Elephas maximus indicus: one gene and its partners. The protein of the gene in region 1 purifies or fractionates together with the protein of each later gene. This does not show direct contact. Links are inferred from orthologs where the notes say so. Each region holds a gene or a part of one and is shown in the gene's direction. Other genes may lie near its edges.

Evidence for each region. The genes of interacting proteins can lie anywhere in the genome.
Region 2: the proteins of SMARCC2 (region 1) and BCL7C purify together in Homo sapiens (affinity purification with mass spectrometry; 4 studies listed by BioGRID and IntAct, counting the BioPlex papers as one, with this or other methods). This does not show direct contact. The link is inferred for Elephas maximus indicus from reciprocal best matches to the Homo sapiens genes SMARCC2 and BCL7C.
Region 3: the proteins of SMARCC2 (region 1) and BCL7B purify together in Homo sapiens (affinity purification with mass spectrometry; 3 studies listed by BioGRID and IntAct, counting the BioPlex papers as one, with this or other methods). This does not show direct contact. The link is inferred for Elephas maximus indicus from reciprocal best matches to the Homo sapiens genes SMARCC2 and BCL7B.

What each region holds. Positions count from the first base shown.
Region 1 is NC_064822.1:116,161,963-116,165,562, reverse strand, and holds the start of SMARCC2 (SWI/SNF complex subunit SMARCC2), read left to right. Parts: upstream 1-1,431; 5' UTR 1,432-1,500; coding exon 1,501-1,611; intron 1,612-3,600. UniProt on the Homo sapiens protein: Involved in transcriptional activation and repression of select genes by chromatin remodeling (alteration of DNA-nucleosome topology).
Region 2 is NC_064830.1:90,162,744-90,170,459, reverse strand, and holds BCL7C (B-cell CLL/lymphoma 7 protein family member C), read left to right. Parts: upstream 1-3,681; 5' UTR 3,682-3,914; coding exon 3,915-4,006; intron 4,007-4,517; coding exon 4,518-4,596; intron 4,597-4,928; coding exon 4,929-5,037; intron 5,038-5,129; coding exon 5,130-5,291; intron 5,292-6,707; coding exon 6,708-6,793; intron 6,794-7,256; coding exon 7,257-7,382; 3' UTR 7,383-7,465; downstream 7,466-7,716. Other genes in the region: CTF1 (cardiotrophin-1), read right to left, coding at 728-752. UniProt on the Homo sapiens protein: May play an anti-apoptotic role.
Region 3 is NC_064830.1:110,067,237-110,074,952, forward strand, and holds the start of BCL7B (B-cell CLL/lymphoma 7 protein family member B), read left to right. Parts: upstream 1-4,009; 5' UTR 4,010-4,094; coding exon 4,095-4,186; intron 4,187-4,556; exon of another isoform or gene 4,557-4,771; intron 4,772-4,810; exon of another isoform or gene 4,811-4,912; intron 4,913-4,964; exon of another isoform or gene 4,965-5,039; intron 5,040-7,716. UniProt on the Homo sapiens protein: Positive regulator of apoptosis. Plays a role in the Wnt signaling pathway, negatively regulating the expression of Wnt signaling components CTNNB1 and HMGA1.

The sequences.
Region 1 (3,600 bases):
GCAGTGTTTATGTTTCAATAGGCTACTCCCTCCTAGCCCTGTGATGCCTGAAGTACACTTCCTCAAGGAAATCTAAATGAAAGAATGCCCTGTTTCCTGGGTCCTCGGTGTAATCAGACCCACAACGCACAAGGTGTGATTTCTGGTCATGAAATTCAGAGGTGCCCTCTTTTCCTGGAAATCCAGGTTTAACAATCATTACAAAATAGGCACTCACACACATTCCCAAACAAAACTGAAACAACCCTTCTTTATCCAAATCCTTTTTTATCCCCCCCCCTCAGGAAAATGAAACGCTTTGCTAGCAAACCTGGTTATAGAATTCTGAAAGTGCCTTGCAGCCTAGCAGCCAACGCAGTTGTGCATAAATTTAGCTTCCCGTAAGCCCCCATCCCCCAAATCCAGGGGTGAAACCTTTCAGCTTCCTTTTTCGAGAGGGAAAGGGAAATGCAAGAAAGACATGTGCGGGGACTGGGGCTCCCTTAACATGTCGTGGAAAAAAAAAAAAAAAAAAAAAAGCGCCGCCGTCACGAACAGGATTCGAACCTGTGCGGGGAAACCCCATTGGATTTCGAGTCCAACGCCTTAACCACTCGGCCACCGTGACTCCCAAAACCGCGCTCCGCCGTGCGCTTACAGAAGGGGTCCGCATTGCGACCGGGGAAGAACTGCAGTGAGAAGTGGGACCCCGACCCATCCACACACCCCCTATATCCCTCCGGCTCCTTACCTCTCCTCTCCGCCACTCAAAGGAAAAGGGTCGGTGGACGGGCTGATAAGGAAGGTCTCCCGCCTAGCGAAGAGTCAGGGTCTCAAGGAGCGCAAACCTGCTTAGGAGGCGATGGCGAGGCCTGAAGAGGAAGCGGTTGGAGGGAAGGGACTGGGCCCCCACGGTGGCGGCTAGGGGACTCCTCGGGCTAAGGAGTAAGAGAAAGGTCCCGGAACAAGGTGTTAGGGGTGAGAACCTCTGGAAGAGTTTAAAGGGGAGTTCCTGGGGATGGATGGAAGGAATGTATTGTGGAAAGGGGTTTGGAGTTCTTTGGGATTATGGACTCTGGGGTTACGGATGTGCAAGGAAGGAGAGGACAACTCCAGGCTGGGATTCCTCAGGCGACGTCCTAGAAGTAGGTTAGAGACGTACCCCATCCCTCGAGCTGAGGCAAAAGAGAGAAAGGGCTTCGCGTCAGGTAAGGGGCGTTTTCAGGAGAGTGGACGCCCCCTCCAGGAAGCAGCCGCTTCCCAGGAGGCCCCCGACGCTGCTGCCGCCGCCGCCGCTGCCGCCGGGGAGGCCGCCGGGTCTGGCCCGGCGCAGAGCCTCTCCGCCGCCGCCGCGCCCGGCCGGCCGGCAGGGGGCGCTGCGCGGGCCGGGGCCGGCCCAGGCGGCGGGAGGCGGCGGCCGCGGCGGCGGGAGGCGGCGGGAGGCGGGCGGAGGAGGAGGCGGAGGAGGCGGGAGCTGAGCTGAGCGGGGCGGACGGCGGCGGCGGGCCCGAGCCCGAGAAGATGGCGGTGCGGAAGAAGGACGGCGGCCCCAACGTGAAGTACTACGAGGCCGCGGACACCGTGACCCAGTTCGACAACGTGCGGCTCTGGCTCGGCAAGAACTACAAGAAGGTACGCGGCCCGGACAGGCAGGGCCGCGCGGGAGCCGGGGGCGGGACAAAGGCGCTGCGACCCCGCAGTCCCCCGGGCTCCTGCCCACCCTCCTGCCGCCCCCGGCCCCTCCCCCGCGACCTCCGAGCAGCTCAGCGCGCCCTCCGCCCCGCCCGGCGCCCCGCGCCCCTCCCCCAGCCCATTTTACCCCCACCCCCAGCCTCGGATTCCAGCCCCCGCCCCTACTGCTGCGCCCTCTACCCCTTGTTTTTCTCTGCTGCCCCGGCGGGCCCCGGTGCAAGCAGACCACCCGCTCTTAAGCCACCGGCTTCCCGCTTTTCTGGGAGAGAGGCCCGGGGGGAGGGGGAGGGGGCGGACGGGGCACCCAGTGGGCGCCCCCCTAACGCGCCCGCCACAGTGCCGGCCAGAGCTCCCCACGGAGCCAGGTACCAGGAGGGCTGAGGCCTCCCTGGTGCTTTGTGTGTGTTCAGAGATGATGAAAGCAGGAGCGTGAACAGCCACAGAGCAGGCCCCTGGCTGATCATCGGCCTGAAATAAGGCCCCCATCTGGGGATCACCTGTCTCCACCGCTCATCCCCCAGCCTCCATCTAAGAGGCACCAAAACCTCTTTGGGAACCAGGGTATAGGAGTTTCTAGGGAGCGGCCTCTAAAACCATTCCTTGGCTTCACAGTGAAGGCATCCAGCATCTAGCCTTGCATTGCCATGGGTTTGGAGTTCAGAGGCTAGGACAAGCCTTATAACTAGCCTCCCACCATCAACCCCATGAGTGAAGATAATAAAGTAGTGAACAAAGGACTCAAGAAGCCTTACCTGTCCTGTTAGCAAACCTTTTCCTAGTGTCTTCTTTGTCTTTGGGCCTGGTAAAAGGAACGTTTACATATAGGGTGTTTCGCTGGAGATGGTCTTTGCCTCCTGTCTTTCCCATTACCCCCAATTAGGGCTCTCTTTCTACTTTCCAACTCTTCCTGTCCAGCCTTGCAGCCTGTCAGAAGTGTGATGGGTAGACTTCCCCTCTGATCCTGGCTATGAGTCTGGCCCTGTTCTCAGGGTCTCCCTGGGTGTCGGAATTCTGACAAACAGCTGCTGGGTCTGTTTGTGGCCTGTCTGCACCTCGGTGTGAGGCTCTGGTTCCCAGGCTTCTACCTTTGACCTTTTGGAAGAAAGATCAGGCTAGGAGCTTTTAGTCTGTGGCCCTGGAGGAATTGACAGTCTGTGACCTGGTTCAGCTTTCATGCTCTTAGCTCTTTGTTATTTACCTTTTCCTTCACTGATCTCTTTACACCTCCTACTGAGAGGAGTTCTAGTCTCTGTGCTTAGGGTTCAGGAAACAAGGGTCAAAAGGTAAGAGAAAGTTAACCTCTGGATCGGCTTCAACTAGGACAGAAAGGCTAGGATGCTAGACAGTGTAGTATGGAAATGTTTAAGTAGTCCCACGTTTGTTTTTGTCAGATATATTTTCCTCAGAAAGGAAAGATACCGTCTTGGTGTTCCCCACCAGGCAAGTGCTGGTCCTTCCCATCAAGGAGGGCCTACACCAAGCCTCGAAGACATTTGTGCCCAGTTCCTATTACAATCAAAACATACAAGCTTTTTCTCAGTCTTCTTGCCCTACCTCACTTCCTTGTGTCTTTCTCATTAGGCTAATTTTAGGGGGGAGTCTTGACCTTCCACAAAATCCCTCCAAGAAATAACACTGTGGTCATGTTTAGTGAGCCCTGTAGGCATTGCTTCCATGGCCTGAGCTCCATAAACCTTCAGTTATTTTACAACCCTCTGTGTTGTTGGCTAGAAATCAGGTGCCACGATAACAGGGTCCTGCAAATCATATTTCAGGATATAGCTGAGGGAAGAGTAGGAAGCTTCCTTCACTCCCAGCACCCAACACTGGCAATCTGTGCTGGTGGCAGCAGAATTTCATCTTCCTGGTTTGGGATGTCCAGGGCCTCCTTTCTGCTGTTTTCTTTACCGAGACTAGACATCTGGCGAG
Region 2 (7,716 bases), on another chromosome or scaffold:
GAGGCCTGTAAGGAAAAAACTCCCTCATTTTACAGATCCGGAGACCGAAGTCCCATTCGCTTTCTGATGTCTCTTTTATGCAAAACACTGGGCTGGGCCCTGGGCGGCATCAATGAATCAGCGACCCGCCCTGAGGGACACAAGCCATAGGGTGGCGCCCCAGGAGAAGGAGGACTACACTTCCCGAGACGCACAGCGCGCTCCCAAGTGCATGCTGGGGGATGTAGTCCGGACACGGCACCTCCCGCCCCGCCCCCCGCCTGAGTTTCCCACTGCTAGTACCGGTCTTCAGCTGCCTAGACTTTCGTTTCCTCTTGTCATGCACTCACTCATGTGGCCCAAAGACTTCCACAACTCTACTTCTCCCTCTGACCCCAAGTTCTGATTATTTCCGAGACTCGGAGAGGACCCAGGGGTCCAGCCCCCTGTCCTGACTCCAGTCCTCCCCCAGGTGGACTCGAACCAGTTGTCTGGCTGCAGAGCCCAAGTCCCTGAAAGCGCAGCTCCAGGCCTCTTCTGAACCCTGGCGCCTGCTCCCTTCCCACAACTCTGGCGCCTGCTCCCTTCCCACAACTCACCCGCTCGTTACCTGACACCAGGGTAAGCTCCCGTGCCCAGGCCGCTCCCCTCCCAGTCCCGGAGGTGGCGGAGACTCTGACCCTAGCTCCCAGCCCTTCTGACCCCTGCTCCCCTCAGTGACCCGGCATCTGACCCTTCAGCCCCTTACCCAGACTTCCCTCCCTCCGGCTCATGCTGGCCCTTAGCCGATCTCGGTTACCTCCACGCCCCCCTTCGAGGCGGGAGAAGGGGGACAGGGGTAGGGGCGTGACTCGGGCGCAACCAATCATGGTCCAGACCCCAAACACCCGCCCCACCCCCCCTCTCCCAGGCAAGATTCCTTGGCCCTGAGCTCAGCTCCCAGCCTACGCAGCCTAACCCGAGAGGGACCTAAGGGGTGGGGTGGGGGGGACAGCTTATTGGCACTATGGGCTTGGGACCTGGGACCGAGGGTCGGGGGCATGGGAAGCAGCCCTGCGTCCCACCAGGAGGAGGCTCAGGCACCGACCTGGGGCAGGGCCTGGCACTAGGAGATAAAGAGGGAGGCTGAGGGGCTGGCAGGAGAGGATGTGCAAGCCCTTCCTCTTGGAGACAAAGGGAGGCTAGGTGAGAGGGTTGTCCGGTAGGAGTCTCTAGGGCTTGGGGGCACACCTACCCAGACACACACCTGTATCTTATATGCGTTCCACCCAGTCAGCACAGTCTCATTGTCACATTGATATTCCCCGTCTCCTTTCTTCAAGCACATGCTGGTTGTCACACCTACCAGGAGGGAGACACATCACCTCATCTCACCTCACCCCACTGACACACACACATGCATCTATTGAAAGTTAATGCATACACTCATTCTTACATAGGAGCAAGCTTCAGAGACAGGTGCAGGAGGTCACACTCACACGTAACCCCACTAACCTGGTGCAGATAGACACTAGGGGGTCTGCATACACATCCCTAGAGATGGTTCTAGAGTGCCTACTCTGCTCTGGATCCTGGGACACAGATACGATCCATATGGGGTCTCAGACCCCCTAAGGAACTCACAGTCTGATGAGAGAGACCATACACAATGGAGACTGTGAGCAAAAGGACTGTGTGTCTGTGAGGATGTTGACATGGGCAGACAAACTGCCAGAATAAAGGAATGCAGGGATTAACTGGCAGACAGCAGAGCAGGTGCAACTGAGGCTGCACTCTTTATTCACAGTTAATATTTATTGAGGGTTTATTATGTGCAGGCTCTAAGAGCTATACATGTATTCATGTATTAACTTGCTTAATGCTTATAAACTCATTCACCCTGTTGCCATCGAGTCGATTCCGACTCACAGCCACTCTATAGGACAGAGTAGAACTGCCCCATAGGGTTTCCAAGGAGTGCCCGGTGGATTCGAACTGCTGACCCTTTGGTTAGCAGCCGTAACACTTAACCACTATGCCACTAGGGTTTCCTTAATGCTTATAACAATATAAAAAGGTAGGTAATATTATCACCCCCATTCTATAGACAAGGAATTAGAAGTATAGACAGATAAGTGACTCGTCCAAGGCCACATAGGTAAGTGTGGCACAGTTGGGATTTCTCCCCAGCAGTTTAGCTCCAGAGATGCTCTCATCATCACCTTGCTATACCTTAACCCCTCCGGACGGTCACACAACAGCACAGACACAACAGACATACCCTTGAAACACACTCACACATAGCAACACACATTTATATCTGCTGACAAGCACCTGTAAACCCATCGCTGTCAAGTTGATTCCGACTCATAGTGATCCTATAGGACAGAGTAGGGCTGCCCCATAAGGTTTCTAAAGATCAGCTGGCGGATTCGAACTGCCAACCTTTTTGTTTGTCGCCAAGCTCACCAAGGGTCTGCTGACAAGCACGGTGTCCAATAAAACCAACCAAGACACAGTCATTTTCTTTAAGAAAACTTTTTATTGAAGTAAAATACACATACAGAAAAGTGCACACATTATAAGTACACAGCTTGATGACTTCCCATATGATAAACATGCCCAAGGAACCAGCACCACATTAAGAAACAGAACAGGATCTGCTTGGAGAAACCCCCCTCTTAGCCATTCCCAGTCAGTATCCCCCAAGGGTGACCACTATCCTGCCTTCTCACACCATAATTTTGTCGTTTTCAAACTTCATATAAATGGAAGCTTGTGTCTTCTTTCACTCAGATGTTCATGAGACTTATCCACGTTGTTGGGTGTAAAAACCAAAGCCACTGCCGTCGAGTCGATTCCAACTCATAGCAACCCTATCGGACAGAGTAGAACTGCCCGACAGAGTTTCCACGGTGCGCCTGGCAGATTCAAACTGCCGGTCTCTTGGTTAGCAGCCGTAGCACTTAACCACTACGCCACCAGGGTTTGTTAGGTGTAGCAGGAATCAATCATTCTCATTGCTGTGCCCACGGGTGTGAATAGGCTACAATTCATTTTCCAGTCTCCTGTTGATGGGCATTTGAGTTGTTTCCAATTTGGGGCTATTATGAACAGTGCTATGAACTTTCTAGTACACATCTCTTGGTGTTCATACCTCCGTTGGGCGTTGACGACTTAGGATTGGAACTGCTGGATCATATGGCCAGCTTCACTAGAAAACTGCCTGTTTTCCAAAGTGGCTCTACCAATTTACACCCCCCCAACTCCCCGCCTAAATATGAGTTCCACTTGCTCTGCTTCCTCGCCTACCTTGGTATGGTCTGTCATTTTCATTTTAGTCATTCCGGTGGGTGGAGACCCACTCATACTGGCAGAACCTGGCACATAGTTGGCACTCAGTAGACTGTTGAATGAATGGATGAGCTGGGCAACATAGAATCAGACAACTTGGCGAGGGTGGACACACACATACATAAACACACCCTCACCCAGAATTTCAGGGACGCCCAAGCGCGGGGGACGCACATCCGGACACGGACCCCCGCGCGCATCCCCGGGGCCCACGTGGCCTGAACGCACCGCCTCTGGCCGGTCGCGCGCGTCCAGTCGCCCAGCTGCCCCTAACTCTCCCTCTCGGTGGCGGGCAGGGGGCGCTGCGCGTCCGGACGCCCCGAGGGGGCGGGCCCGGGTCGGGGCGGGGCCGGCCGGGCTTCCAAACCTCGGCTCCCGCCGCCCGCGCCGCCGGGCCGCTCCGGGGACGGGCCGGGGCGGGGCGCGGCGGCAGGAAGCGGGGCGGGGATTCGCGGAGGCGTTGGGGAGCGAGGGAGGGCGCGGCCAACTCCCGGAGGGTCGGCAGGCCTGGAGAGCGGCGCCCCTGCTTGGCGCCGAGCCTGAGCCCGCCGGACGGGAGGCGGCCCCGCCACGGGCCCTGCCTCGGTCCCAGCCCCGCCAGCATGGCGGGCCGGACTGTGCGGGCCGAGACCCGGAGCCGGGCCAAGGATGACATCAAGAAGGTGATGGCGACCATCGAGAAGGTCCGGAGATGGTGAGCTCAGCGACAGGGACGCGGATGGGACATAGCAGGGCTACCGCCCCCAAATGCATTTACCCTCCCCATGCCAGCTGTAGCCCCAGGTGTTAGGCGTGTGCCCAGCTGTGCCCCGGATTGACAGGGCTCATTCTCCCTTGCCCTGGTGATCTCCAGCCGTGCCCTCCCATAGTAGGGCTCCAATTTTTGTGCCCTGCCTCCTAAAGCTGTGACTCCCTCCATCCTAAGTGTGCCCCAGGATCTTCATTGCCATGGTCCTCACCCAGGCCCAGAGCCATGCCCCCATTTTTGCAGCGCCACAGTCCCAAGCCATACCCTCCCTAGACGCACTCTCATCTATGCCCTGAGGTCTGCAGGGCTCTCTTTGGCCCTCTCACTACGCCCTATTAACAAAACTGTCCCTCCCCTCGTGCCCCTCCCCCACCTCTGCAGGTACCCCCAGATGTGTCCAGCTGGGGGGCTTTTCCCCCAAGCCTCTCTGACCCAGCTACCCCCCATCCTCCCACAGGGAGAAGCGCTGGGTGACTGTGGGCGACACTTCCCTTCGTATCTTCAAGTGGGTGCCAGTGGTGGACCCCCAGGAGGAGGTGAGCAAGCCCCCCCTCCACCAGACCCTGCATCTGTGCAACCTCAGCCAAGCTCCTGCCCACCCTGGCCTCCACATCTAGTCCCCACTCAGACCTCAAATGCAGCAGTTTAGGCAGATGTCAACAATTATTAGCCACCCCAGCCCCCTTCTTTTTCCCTGCTCCAGAGCCCAGAATTCAGAACCTAACTCAGCATGCACAACCTCTGTCACCTCAGGCAAGGCCTTTTGCTTCTCTCTGCCTCAGTTTCCTTATCTGTACGGGGTGGGAGGATTGCAAGAGCTAACCAGAAAGGCAGTTGGGGCCCTGACCCTTACCCCTCTAACCCCTAGGACCGACGACGGGCGGCTGGTGGTGCAGAAAGATCCCGTGGCCGGGAGCGGCGGGGCAGGGTCTCCAGTCCCCGAGGGGGTGGTCCTCTCATCCTGCTCGATCTCAATGGTATGTGGGGATCCTGGGATTTAGGGGGTGAGGGGCATGGAAGAGAGAACTTGGGGCCTCAGGCCCAACCCTTCTGGTTCTTGTTCCCACAGATGAGAACAGCAACCAGAGTTTTCATTCGGAAGGGTCTCTGCAAAAGGGCACCGAGCCCAGCCCTGGGGGCACCCCCCAGCCCAGCCGTCCTGAATCGCCTGCCGGACCCCAAGATGGGGTCCCAGAAGAGGCTCAGCCCCCACAGCTGGGCCAGGAGAGAGGTAGGACCAGGTGCCTCCTGGGAGCCCGCTCCTCTGATGAATCCTGTTCGCTACAAAGCTGAACCCACCAGCTTCCCTGCATGTCTGTTCCTCCTCTTTTGTTGCCTCATCAAGGAGGCTCTTCCTTGGCTTCTGTGGAAAGTTACCACCCTATCTCTAGCTACTGTGTGTCTCATTCCTCTGGCTTCTTAGGGTCTGTAGATCTCTTATCACGATCTGAAATTTCATGTAAATTTAACTTTTTATTAGTATAGTATGTTTCTCCCCCAGTCCCACCTGATAGCAGCTTCATGAAAGTTGGGCTCATATCGATCTTGTTCACTAATTGCCTCAGAACACCATGTGACACATAGTAGGTACTCAAGGAACATTCGTTGAGTGATAATCATAAAAGCAATTAACACGGTATTGATAATAGGTAATATATATTGAGTGCTTACTGTGCGCCAGGTATGCTTCTAAGCACTTTACTCACTTTATCTTTTTTAATCTTCATCACAACCCTATGGGAAGGTGTGTCGTATTACGATCCCCATTTATAGATGACGAAACCGATGCTCAGAGAAGTTACGTAAGTTGTCGAAGTCACACAGCAAGCTCCCTCTTCCATATAGCCAGTCGATGCCTGCCTTTCCCTCCCCAGGCTCTGCCTGGCTCTGGCCATCCCATCTTTCATGCACTGCTGGCTCTAGCCTCCTCAGCAGTCACCCCCATCCAGTTGCTTCCACACAACTGCCAGAGTAACTAAACCACAAGCTTGTCAGCTTCCCTGCTTCAAAGCCTTCAGTAGCTCCCCATGGCTTTTGACTCCTCCCCAGCTTGGCATTCAGGGCCCTTCGTGAACTGGCCCCTGGTAACCTCATTGTTCTCCCCCAGCAACCTCATGACATGGGCCTACTTGCTGTGACGAGTATGTGCCATGCACTCTTATGCCTTTGCTAATACAAAAGCACTAATTGATACCCGCTGAGTACTTGGTTGTGCTAAGGGCTCTACCTGTATTGTCTCACTGAATCCTCACAACAATCTCATGTGGTAACTACTGTTGTTATCCCCATTTTACAGACAGGGAAACTGAGACTTAGAGAAATTAAGTAGTTTGACCAAGGTCAGAATATGAACCCAGGCACTCCAACCCCAGAAGTTGTGCTCATTAAGCATGAATTCCTTCTGCGAAAAGTGTGCTCCACCTGTTTGCCGGATGAAATCCTACTCACCCTTCAACATCCCACATAAATGTTCCTTCCTCTGTGCTGCCTTCTGGATCACAGTAACAGTGCGGGCTCCTCCCTCATTCTCCCATACCCTCTGGCTTACGTGGTTGGTGCTTGTTGGTATTTATTTCCCTGACTGGTTTGTGTTACTGCCACAGAGTTGCTGGCTGCTCAGGGAATGTCTGTTAACTTGACCTTCCAGATCCTGGGGGCATAACTACGGGCGGCACCGATGAACCCCCGATGCTGACCAAGGAAGAGCCTGTTCCAGAATTGCTGGAAGCTGAGGTGAGAGAGGCCAGAACACTGTTCTTTTAGGTCTTCGAGGGGTTGGAAGCTTTGGGGTTAGCCAAAGGCTCGGAGGCTGTACTCCTGGGTCCAGAAGGGGAATGTAGACATAGAACACAGGTAAAAGCTTAGAGGCTGGATTCTTGGGACCAAAAAGGAGAGGATATTTTAGCGACGGCCAATGTCTTAAGCTTAATAAAGTCCCCCATAAAGTTCTGATTTTTCCCACAAGGATTATGTTGATGCATTTTTCCGAAATATCAAATATCACATTCTTTCTCCAGAATTTGTCGTTGTTGTTTTTTCTTGTGCCTTACTTAAGCTGCATCTTGGGTACCTGGCTCTGGGCTAGACTCCTGGGTCCGGGAGGGGAGTGGAGTGGAGGCTTTGGAGAAGGCAGAGGCTAGGAGGCTGGACTCCTGGGTTTGGGTGGAGCTCACGCCTGTCCGCCCTTCCTCTCCAGGCCCCTGAAGCTTACCCCGTCTTTGAGCCAGTGCCACCTGTCCCCGAGGCAGCCCAGGGTGACACAGAGGACTCGGAGGGCGCCCCCCCACTCAAGCGCATCTGCCCCAATGCCCCTGACCCCTGAGAAGCCGGCCTGCCTATCCTGCCACCCCAGGGGCCTCTTTGACTTTTTACAAATAAAGACCCTTTTATAATTTTGTGTCATGTTGTTTCCCCGTCAGGGCTGGGGAGGGTCTTTGGTGACAGTTTTGTCACATGCTCCATTTCTCAGATGGGGTCACTGAGACTCTTTGAGAGGACCTTCCTGTAGTCACACCATGAGTCAGATGTGGAGTAGGGGCTTGAGCCAGGACCTTCCTCCCTAACACTTTCCCCACTTTGTCCTGTCCTCCTTACTGCTGACCCTTTTTAACCTTCACCTCTCCTCCTGTGAGAATCCCAGGAACCTCCTTCTCAGC
Region 3 (7,716 bases), on another chromosome or scaffold:
AAAATTGCTCAAGCAATTGTGGAGGCTGGCAAGTCCCAAATCCTTGGGTCAAGCAGCAGGCTGGAGGCTTCTGACTCACGTGGTTACAGGGGCCGACAAACCCAAACTCTGTAGGTCAGGCAGCAGGCTAATGGCTCATGGGGTTTCAGGACTTGGTGAATCCAAAATCTGCAGGTCCAGCAGCAGGTTGAAGTCTTCTCATGACCCAAGATCCAGACGTTAGACGTCAACGAGATGAATGCAGAATCGGGAGAGAGAGCTTTGCCAGAACATCCATTTACATCCTGGATGTAGGCTACACCCCCAAGGAAACGCCCCTTCCAACTGATTGGCTACTCACTTTAGATCACAAAATGGGAGGTGACTACCTAGTGCCTGACAAACCGCTGAGAATCATAGCCTCGCCCAGTTGGCCTATAACCATCACACCAAGGAAAGGGAGTGGCCTCTAGAAACTGCAACAGGCAAGGACACAGATTCTCCCCTAGAGCCTCCAGAAGGGAATGCACGCTGCTGACACCTTGACCTTAACCCTGTGAGATCCATGTTGGACGTCTTGTCTACAGAACTGTAAGCTAATGAATTGATGTTGCTTTAAGCCACTAAATATGTGGTAATTTGTCACAGCAGCAACTGAAAGCTAATACAATGATATACTACATGAGATATCAAGGTGCAGACTAGTGCGGAGTGTGCTACAATCTGTGTAGAAAAAGAAAGGAATATGTACTTTTGGATATATGTTTGTAAATATGTGGACCAATGGTTCGAAACCTCAGCTGTACAAGACTGTGATCTGGAAACCTTAAAAAACAAACCCCAACGTTCAGGCTGCACCACGGACCACTAAACCAGAACCTCCGGGGTGGGCCCCGGCATCGGTATTTTTTTGGAGTTCCCCAGGTGCAGCCAACGTTGACAGTATCAGTGTAGACTGTCTCTGGAAGGTTAGGCAGAGGGTGACAAGGACAGGGTGAGTGCAGGATCAGGAGGGAGGGACTTGTTTATTTTTTAACTTTTAAACTTAACTGTATACCTTTAAACAAAAACAAAACAAAACACATGCACAAGCCATCTACAGAACCATGGAGACAAAACCTTGGTGATAGGGCCCAGGAATCTGCATTCTAACAGCTTTCTTGGGTGAGCCTCATGGTCGTCGGGGCACCACTGGGCTCTCTCTGCCTATGCTGTGTCCTCATTGGCCGCGTTCTTGTTTCTGGCTTCCTGGTACTTCGCATTAACAACGTACCAGGGAACCACCCCCTGTGAAAGTTTTGAAGGCCTCCTTGAATCATTTCCATTTTTTAGCCCCTGAAACTTCTCTCAGTGAATTCCACGGGTTTCCACCGTCGCTGCTTAGAGTGCCCGGGGAATCCTTCACAACATCTCACGTCTTCTTTGCTCCTCAGCACTGTGTTTTGGTTTCTGTGGCCTGACACAGGAGTAGACCTTCCAGTGGCTTTTGCAGAAAGGAGGGAGACATTGATTCTTATCCTCTTTCCCCCATCTTAACCTATGAAGGAGGAAAGAGAGAGGAACCTCAGCGTGTTTGAGACTCCTACACCATGAGGCTTCTCCTCAAACAGGTTTCTTTAGCTACCAGTGGTCTTCAGGGTGGCTTTTTGTCTAGACTGCCTTGGAAATCCTTGCCTTTTAGGAGAGTTCAGGGTATAATACAGAATGTGTTCAGAGTCCTGTGGGGGTTCATGGGAGGAAGGTCTCTTTCCTTCTGCTTGGAGTGATCTGGGAAGGGTTTATGGAAGGGGGAAGCATTGATGTTGGTCATTCACTCATTCAACAAGTATTTATGAGTACCTACTGAGTGCCCGGCTCTGTTCTAGGTGTTGGGGACAATCAGTGAACTAATGGACCATGTTGCTACCTTCATGGAGCAACTGAAATCGGGAGATAGATAATAACCAACATAAACAAATAGTATTTTAGATGATGAATGCTCCAAAGAAAAATGTGGGGAGATAGGGAATGTGCGTGGAACAGATGTGGCAGCCTTAGGTAGGGTGGGCAGGGAAGGCTGCACTGAGAACATTTGAGTAAAGATTAAAGGCAGGGGTGAGGGAGTGAACCATGCACATATATGGGGGATGGGCAGAAGAACCTCCAGTGTAAAGGTCCTGAGGCAGGAGCTTGAGTGAATGTTTTCAGATTAGCAAGGCGGCCAGAGCAGTTGGAGAGTGCAAAGGAGAAAGTTATAGGAGGTGAGGTCAGAGAATTCTTGGGAGGGGTGTGGCAGGCACATGGTGCGAGGCATCGAGGCCACTATAGCTTTTCCTCTGAGAAGGGAAACCATTGCCTTGAGTGCAAGTTCTTCAGGGACGAGGCCTGGGCTGGCTGATCTCTGCATCCCCCTCAGGATCCAGCAACAGGCTTTCACCTCAAAAATGTCAAGGCGTGACTTTCAAAAAGAAAAAGAGGTCACCATTTGTGTGGTCTGTGGGGAATAGTTGGTATGTGCCTGCTTTGATACTCTCTCACACAGACAAAGCTGCAGTGGGAGATGGGGGCGAACAAATGTGAGCAGTTAACATGGGTCACTGGGACTTTGGAGCTGGGGATGGCCTGGTCAGAAAAAGTGACTGACTGGCAGTGGGGCAGCGTGGGCTGGAGGAGGGTTGGATGCCGCCAGAGACCAGGGCAGCTGTTAGGTGGAAAGAAACTACAGGCCAGAAACCTCCAGAGGCCAGGGGGAGGCTGGTCAGGACTTGGACAAGGGTGAGACAGAGGTTAGACATAACCGCCAGGTGTTGGGCTGTATGCCTGCACCAGGGAAACCTATGAACAGAATTGGAGGCGTCTAGAAACCTGGCCTCTCTCTGGCACTTAACATGTTCTGCCTTATGTTTTATGTTCCTGTTGCTTTCCTTATCCTCAGCTGGAGGGCAGGGAGTGTCTTACCCATCTTTGCATCACCCACAGTGTCCTCTGCTATGGGGCACATGGCAGAGCTCAGGCGGTGGGTGATTTTGGATCAGTTGGGTTTGAGAAATAGGTGTGCCACCTTTGATCCCATTATTTCTTCAGTCAGCTTTTCCCTCCACTTGCTGGTGCAGCTCTTCCACTCCTCAGTCAGGTAGAAGCTATTCTTGACCCTCGTACCTGCAAAGCTTCCATCTGCTCTGCCTATTAGCTGTGTCGATAAACGTCTAAGGAGCATTTTCAATGCCTGTGGACACTGTTAGCCCTTGGAACAATAGCATCTACCCTGTTTTCAGAGATCAGCTTCAAGCTCACTTTCTCTCCTCCCCAAGCTTTCTGGAAAGCCCCCATCTAACTTCGAGCTGTCAAAGCACCCTATACTTCTCTTAGCCAGCAAGTATCACATGACATTTTAAATACCTCTTCTGATTTGCACGTTCTACTAACCCGGGAGTTCACGGTGCGAAATACACATCCTTGTGTCCTCAGCACTTAGCACAGAACTTTGCAGAAGTCGGCATCATTTAGTCAGCTGCTGCACGAAATGAGACAAGGGATCAAGTGTGAACAAGGTGGTAGTGTAGGTGGGTCGCACTCAAAGACTGCAGAATAAGGTGGGACCCCACGGAATTCGGAGGAGGTGTCTGAGTTTTAGCTGGATGTCGGCAGCGAAGAGGCAGCTGCAGGGATCAGGTGTGTGCGAGGGTCAGCGGCCTGCTGGGGAAAGGTGTCCCGCTCTGGGACCTCTCCGGGGAGCTGGGCGCTGACCGGGGCAGGCCAGGCGCCCGGGGCCCGCAGCGTCCAGGCCACAGGCTGGAAGCCGCAGGAGCCGCTCCGGCAGGTGCTGGCCTCTGACCCCTGAAGAGCCGGGGCCTCGCACCTCGCCCTGCCCACTGCACGTGCCGCCCGCTCGCCGCGCACCCGGCCTGCGCGGGGCTAAGGGGTTGCGGGGCGCCCAGCGGGGGCCGCCGGCGGCGGGCGGGCGCGCAAGCGCGCTGAGGCCTCGAGCCCCAAGGGGCGGGCGGGTGCGCGCGCTCCCCGCGCACGCGCGCACGGAGGGGGCCAGGGCGGCGGTGACGCTGCGGCTGCGGGCGGTGGGCGGCGGGCGGCGCGCGATCCCGTGTCCTGGGAGCAGAGCCCCAGCCCCCGCCGCCGCCATGTCGGGCCGGTCGGTCCGGGCCGAGACCCGCAGCCGCGCCAAGGACGACATCAAGAAGGTGATGGCGGCCATCGAGAAAGTGCGGAAATGGTGAGGGGCTGGGGCGGCGGCTCCTGGGGGGCCGGCCCCGGGGAGCGCCGAACTGGCGGGCGCTGGGGGAGGGGGCAAGCAGGAAGCGGGAGGTGGCTACTGCCCGCGTCGGCGTGAGGTCAGGGGGCGCGCCGGCTGCAACCAATGAGCGGGCGGCCCGGCTCGTGGGCCCGCCCACCTGGCCGCGCGTCTCCCGGGAGAGACTGCTGGCTTCCGGTCCGCGCTCGGTCCGTCGGGCCTTGCGCTCTGCGCGTCGCCCGGGAGGGGCTGCCGGCTTCCGGTCAGCGCTCGGTCTGCCGGGTCTTGCGCTCTGCGCGGCGGCAGGGTTCCCGCGCGGACCGGACGAACGCGCCCTCTCGCTTACCGGGGCGTTCTCGCCGCCGCCCGGCGTGCTCGGGCTTGTTTCTCAGCTGCCCCGTCACAAAGGCTCGCGAGCGCTGAGCGTCCAGTGTGACGGCCTGATGGCTTTCTGTGTTAACTCACTTAAGTTGGGTAAGAGCCCTCCGTAATTCTGCCTGCCGGCGGAAGCCAGCCTGGCCGCGGACATCGGGCCCCGTCCCCTCCCCTGACATCTTTCAGGTGTACCTCCCAGGTGTACGTTCCAGGTGTACCTCCCAGGCGTACCTCCCAGGTGCACGTTCCAGGTGCACCTCCCAGGTGTACGTTCCAGGTGCACTTCCCAGGTATCTCCCAGGCGCACGTTCCAGGTGTACCTCCCAGGCGTACCTCCCAGGTGCACGTTCCAGGTGCACCTCCCAGGCGTACCTCCCAGGTGCACGTTCCAGGTGCACCTCCCAGGCGTACCTCCCAGGTGCACGTTCCAGGTGTACCTCCCAGGCGTACCTCCGAGGTGTACTTTCCAGGTGCACCTCCGAGGCGTACGGTCCAGATGTACCGCTGGTACTTTCTCGTGCCCTGGGGGCTGCTGGTGGAGGGGCCTGGGCCTAGCCCTTGTTTGGAGACGGAATGAGCGCCTGTCTTGTAGCAGGAACTCGGGTGCGTTATCGCATTTAACACTCACGGGCGACTTTTTGATGCCTCCTTGAGCCCTTTCCTTCCCCTTTTCCCTATCAGAAGCCCCGATGGATGGGTCTTAGTTTCCTCCAGGAGGCCTTCTCCAGCCCGTCACCCCTCACCCTCCACCCTTTTGGGGACATCATTACTCAGGTCTGTATTCGTGTGTTTGTCTATTTCCCAACAAGAGAAAGCTTCTTATTTGGGACTCCGAAATTAAATGATTTTTCCTCTCTAAATCTAATTCTCCTAGGTTTTGGTTAAACGTAAGAATCGGTACACCTTTTTTTTCTCCTCGACATCTTTGTCCTCACCTGTCACCGAGGCCAGATTATCATCTTCACCTAGACATCGGCACCAGCGCCTCCGTCATCTCCCTGCTTCTACACTGGCCGCCTACCCAGTCCCTACTTCACATTGCAGTCGGAACGATTTCGTTTTTCTTATTTTCAGTTACCAGAGTGATCTTTTTAAAGTGAAAATGTTACCATAGCATCCCCTGGTTAGAAAATAACGCTTCAGTGGCCTCTTGTCTTCTTATCTCAGGATAAAGACCAAAGCAGATCTTTCCTGCCTTGCCTGTCTCGCTCAAACTGCCCTCTTTGCCAGGAGGCTGTTGTCGCACACTCCTGTTCTGCTGCCAGGCATCCTTCCTCCTCCCCTCTCTCCACCCCCTTCCTGGGTTAACTCCCAGAGCTTAGTTCAAAAGTTGGCTTCTCAGGGATACTTTTCAAAATTCTCAATCTAGGTCGGGTCTGCTTCATAGAACTTTACACAACCCTGAGAAATGCCTTATATTTGAGTATTTAATCTACAAAAATGGCAATTTTATATGTTTCAAATTAATGATTAAGTGGCTGATTTTGAAATAGTTGTTTAATGTCTGTTTCCAGCTGGAATGCAGACTCTGTGAGGGTAGGAACCTGTATCTCCTCTCTCGCTGCAACCCCAGGGCCTAATACAGGAATTTGTACGTTAAATATTTCTTGAACAAATGAGGAAATGGAGTGGCCTGTCTGGAACTAAACTCCAGTTTCTTGAATCTTTAGTTCATCCTTCTTTCTGTTACGTCACAGTCTGTCTCCATTTCTGTGATGTCATCATTTGCTGAAGAGCATTGGTTACTTTTTTTTGTGTGTGATCTCAAATTTGGACTTGAAACCTTCAGAGTTGTTTTACATCTGTCGCAAAGCAGCTTTCTGCGTCTGGCCCTCATTCCTGCTGACAGCAGGTACCTCATAGGGACACCAGTGGCTCTTAGAATAAACAAATTCATTCTGTGTCTGGCATACTTAGAGAAGTAACCTTTTGGAACAAAGGGTAGTCTCCCTTGTTTCTTCTGCGCACACACGTAAGCACATTGAAGGTGCTTCTGTGTGCCACTTCAGAACACTGGCATTTGATGTAATCAGGTTTAGCTAGAGTTGTGAGGCCTTAATAGTGATCTAGAGAGTGACCTTGGGCAAGAGTTTTATCCTTCCTAATGCCTTTTTTTTATCTTGTGAGTGTAGTGGTTAATCTCTGTTATTTTTTACTTCGTAAGGATATATTGTTTGCTGCCATCAAGTTGGTTCGAGCTCATGGTGACCCCATGCACAGTGGCATGAAATGTTGCTCGATCCTGCACCATCCTCACGATTGGTGGCAGATCAGACACTTGTGATCCATAGAGTTTTCACTGGCTAATTTTCAGAAGCAGATCACCAGACCTTTCTTCCTTGTCTTAGTCTGAAAGCTCTGTGGTAACCTGTTCAGTGTCATAACAGCACAAGCCTAGACCAGCCTGGAGACTTAGAGATGATCTCGAAAATTATCAGAACATTTTTTATTGATATTTGTTTAAATAGAATAGCTAACCTATAAGTTTATTTCTGTTGACTGTATTTTTAGTAGTAATAGAATGGTAGAGATTTGAAGATGCATCAATAGCCCGTGATCTTTATTGAAGTTATATTTTGGTAAATTGGCTAATAGTTCAAAAACACTGGAAAAATTATTATTATTTAATAAGGGTGTGCAAGAAGGGACCCAGGAGCAAAAAGCGAGCTGTGACTACAGGAGGGTTAGAGTTACTGCTTTCCGCATCCTACTTTATGGTTCGAGTCCGTGGGTGGCAAGGCCAGGCGGTTGGTTGGTGACGCAGAGCATCCCTTGGCTTCACTGAGGAGTATGTGCCGGATAAATGGCAGTCCGTACTCTCATACAGCCATTAGAGATAAAGAGCATGCGCATGGTAGATAATAAAGCACACCAAGTAAGTCACAGGCAAGTGAAAGAATACGGTGCAACGTGCAGCCTGGCGCTGTGCGTGTGGATGTGTGTCTTCCTCAGTCTGATACTTAATTCCTTCTCCAAAGCTGCCTCAGATGAACTTTCCAGCTTTTCAGGTACCTCCAGCATTAAACTCGATTACGTGCTGTTCTCCAAACACAACTTCAGGCTCTCCGCCTCTGCTTGTCTGTAGTCTACTCTCTTACCCTGGGATGTCACGTGCCTTTCCCCAGGTATGTGCCTGG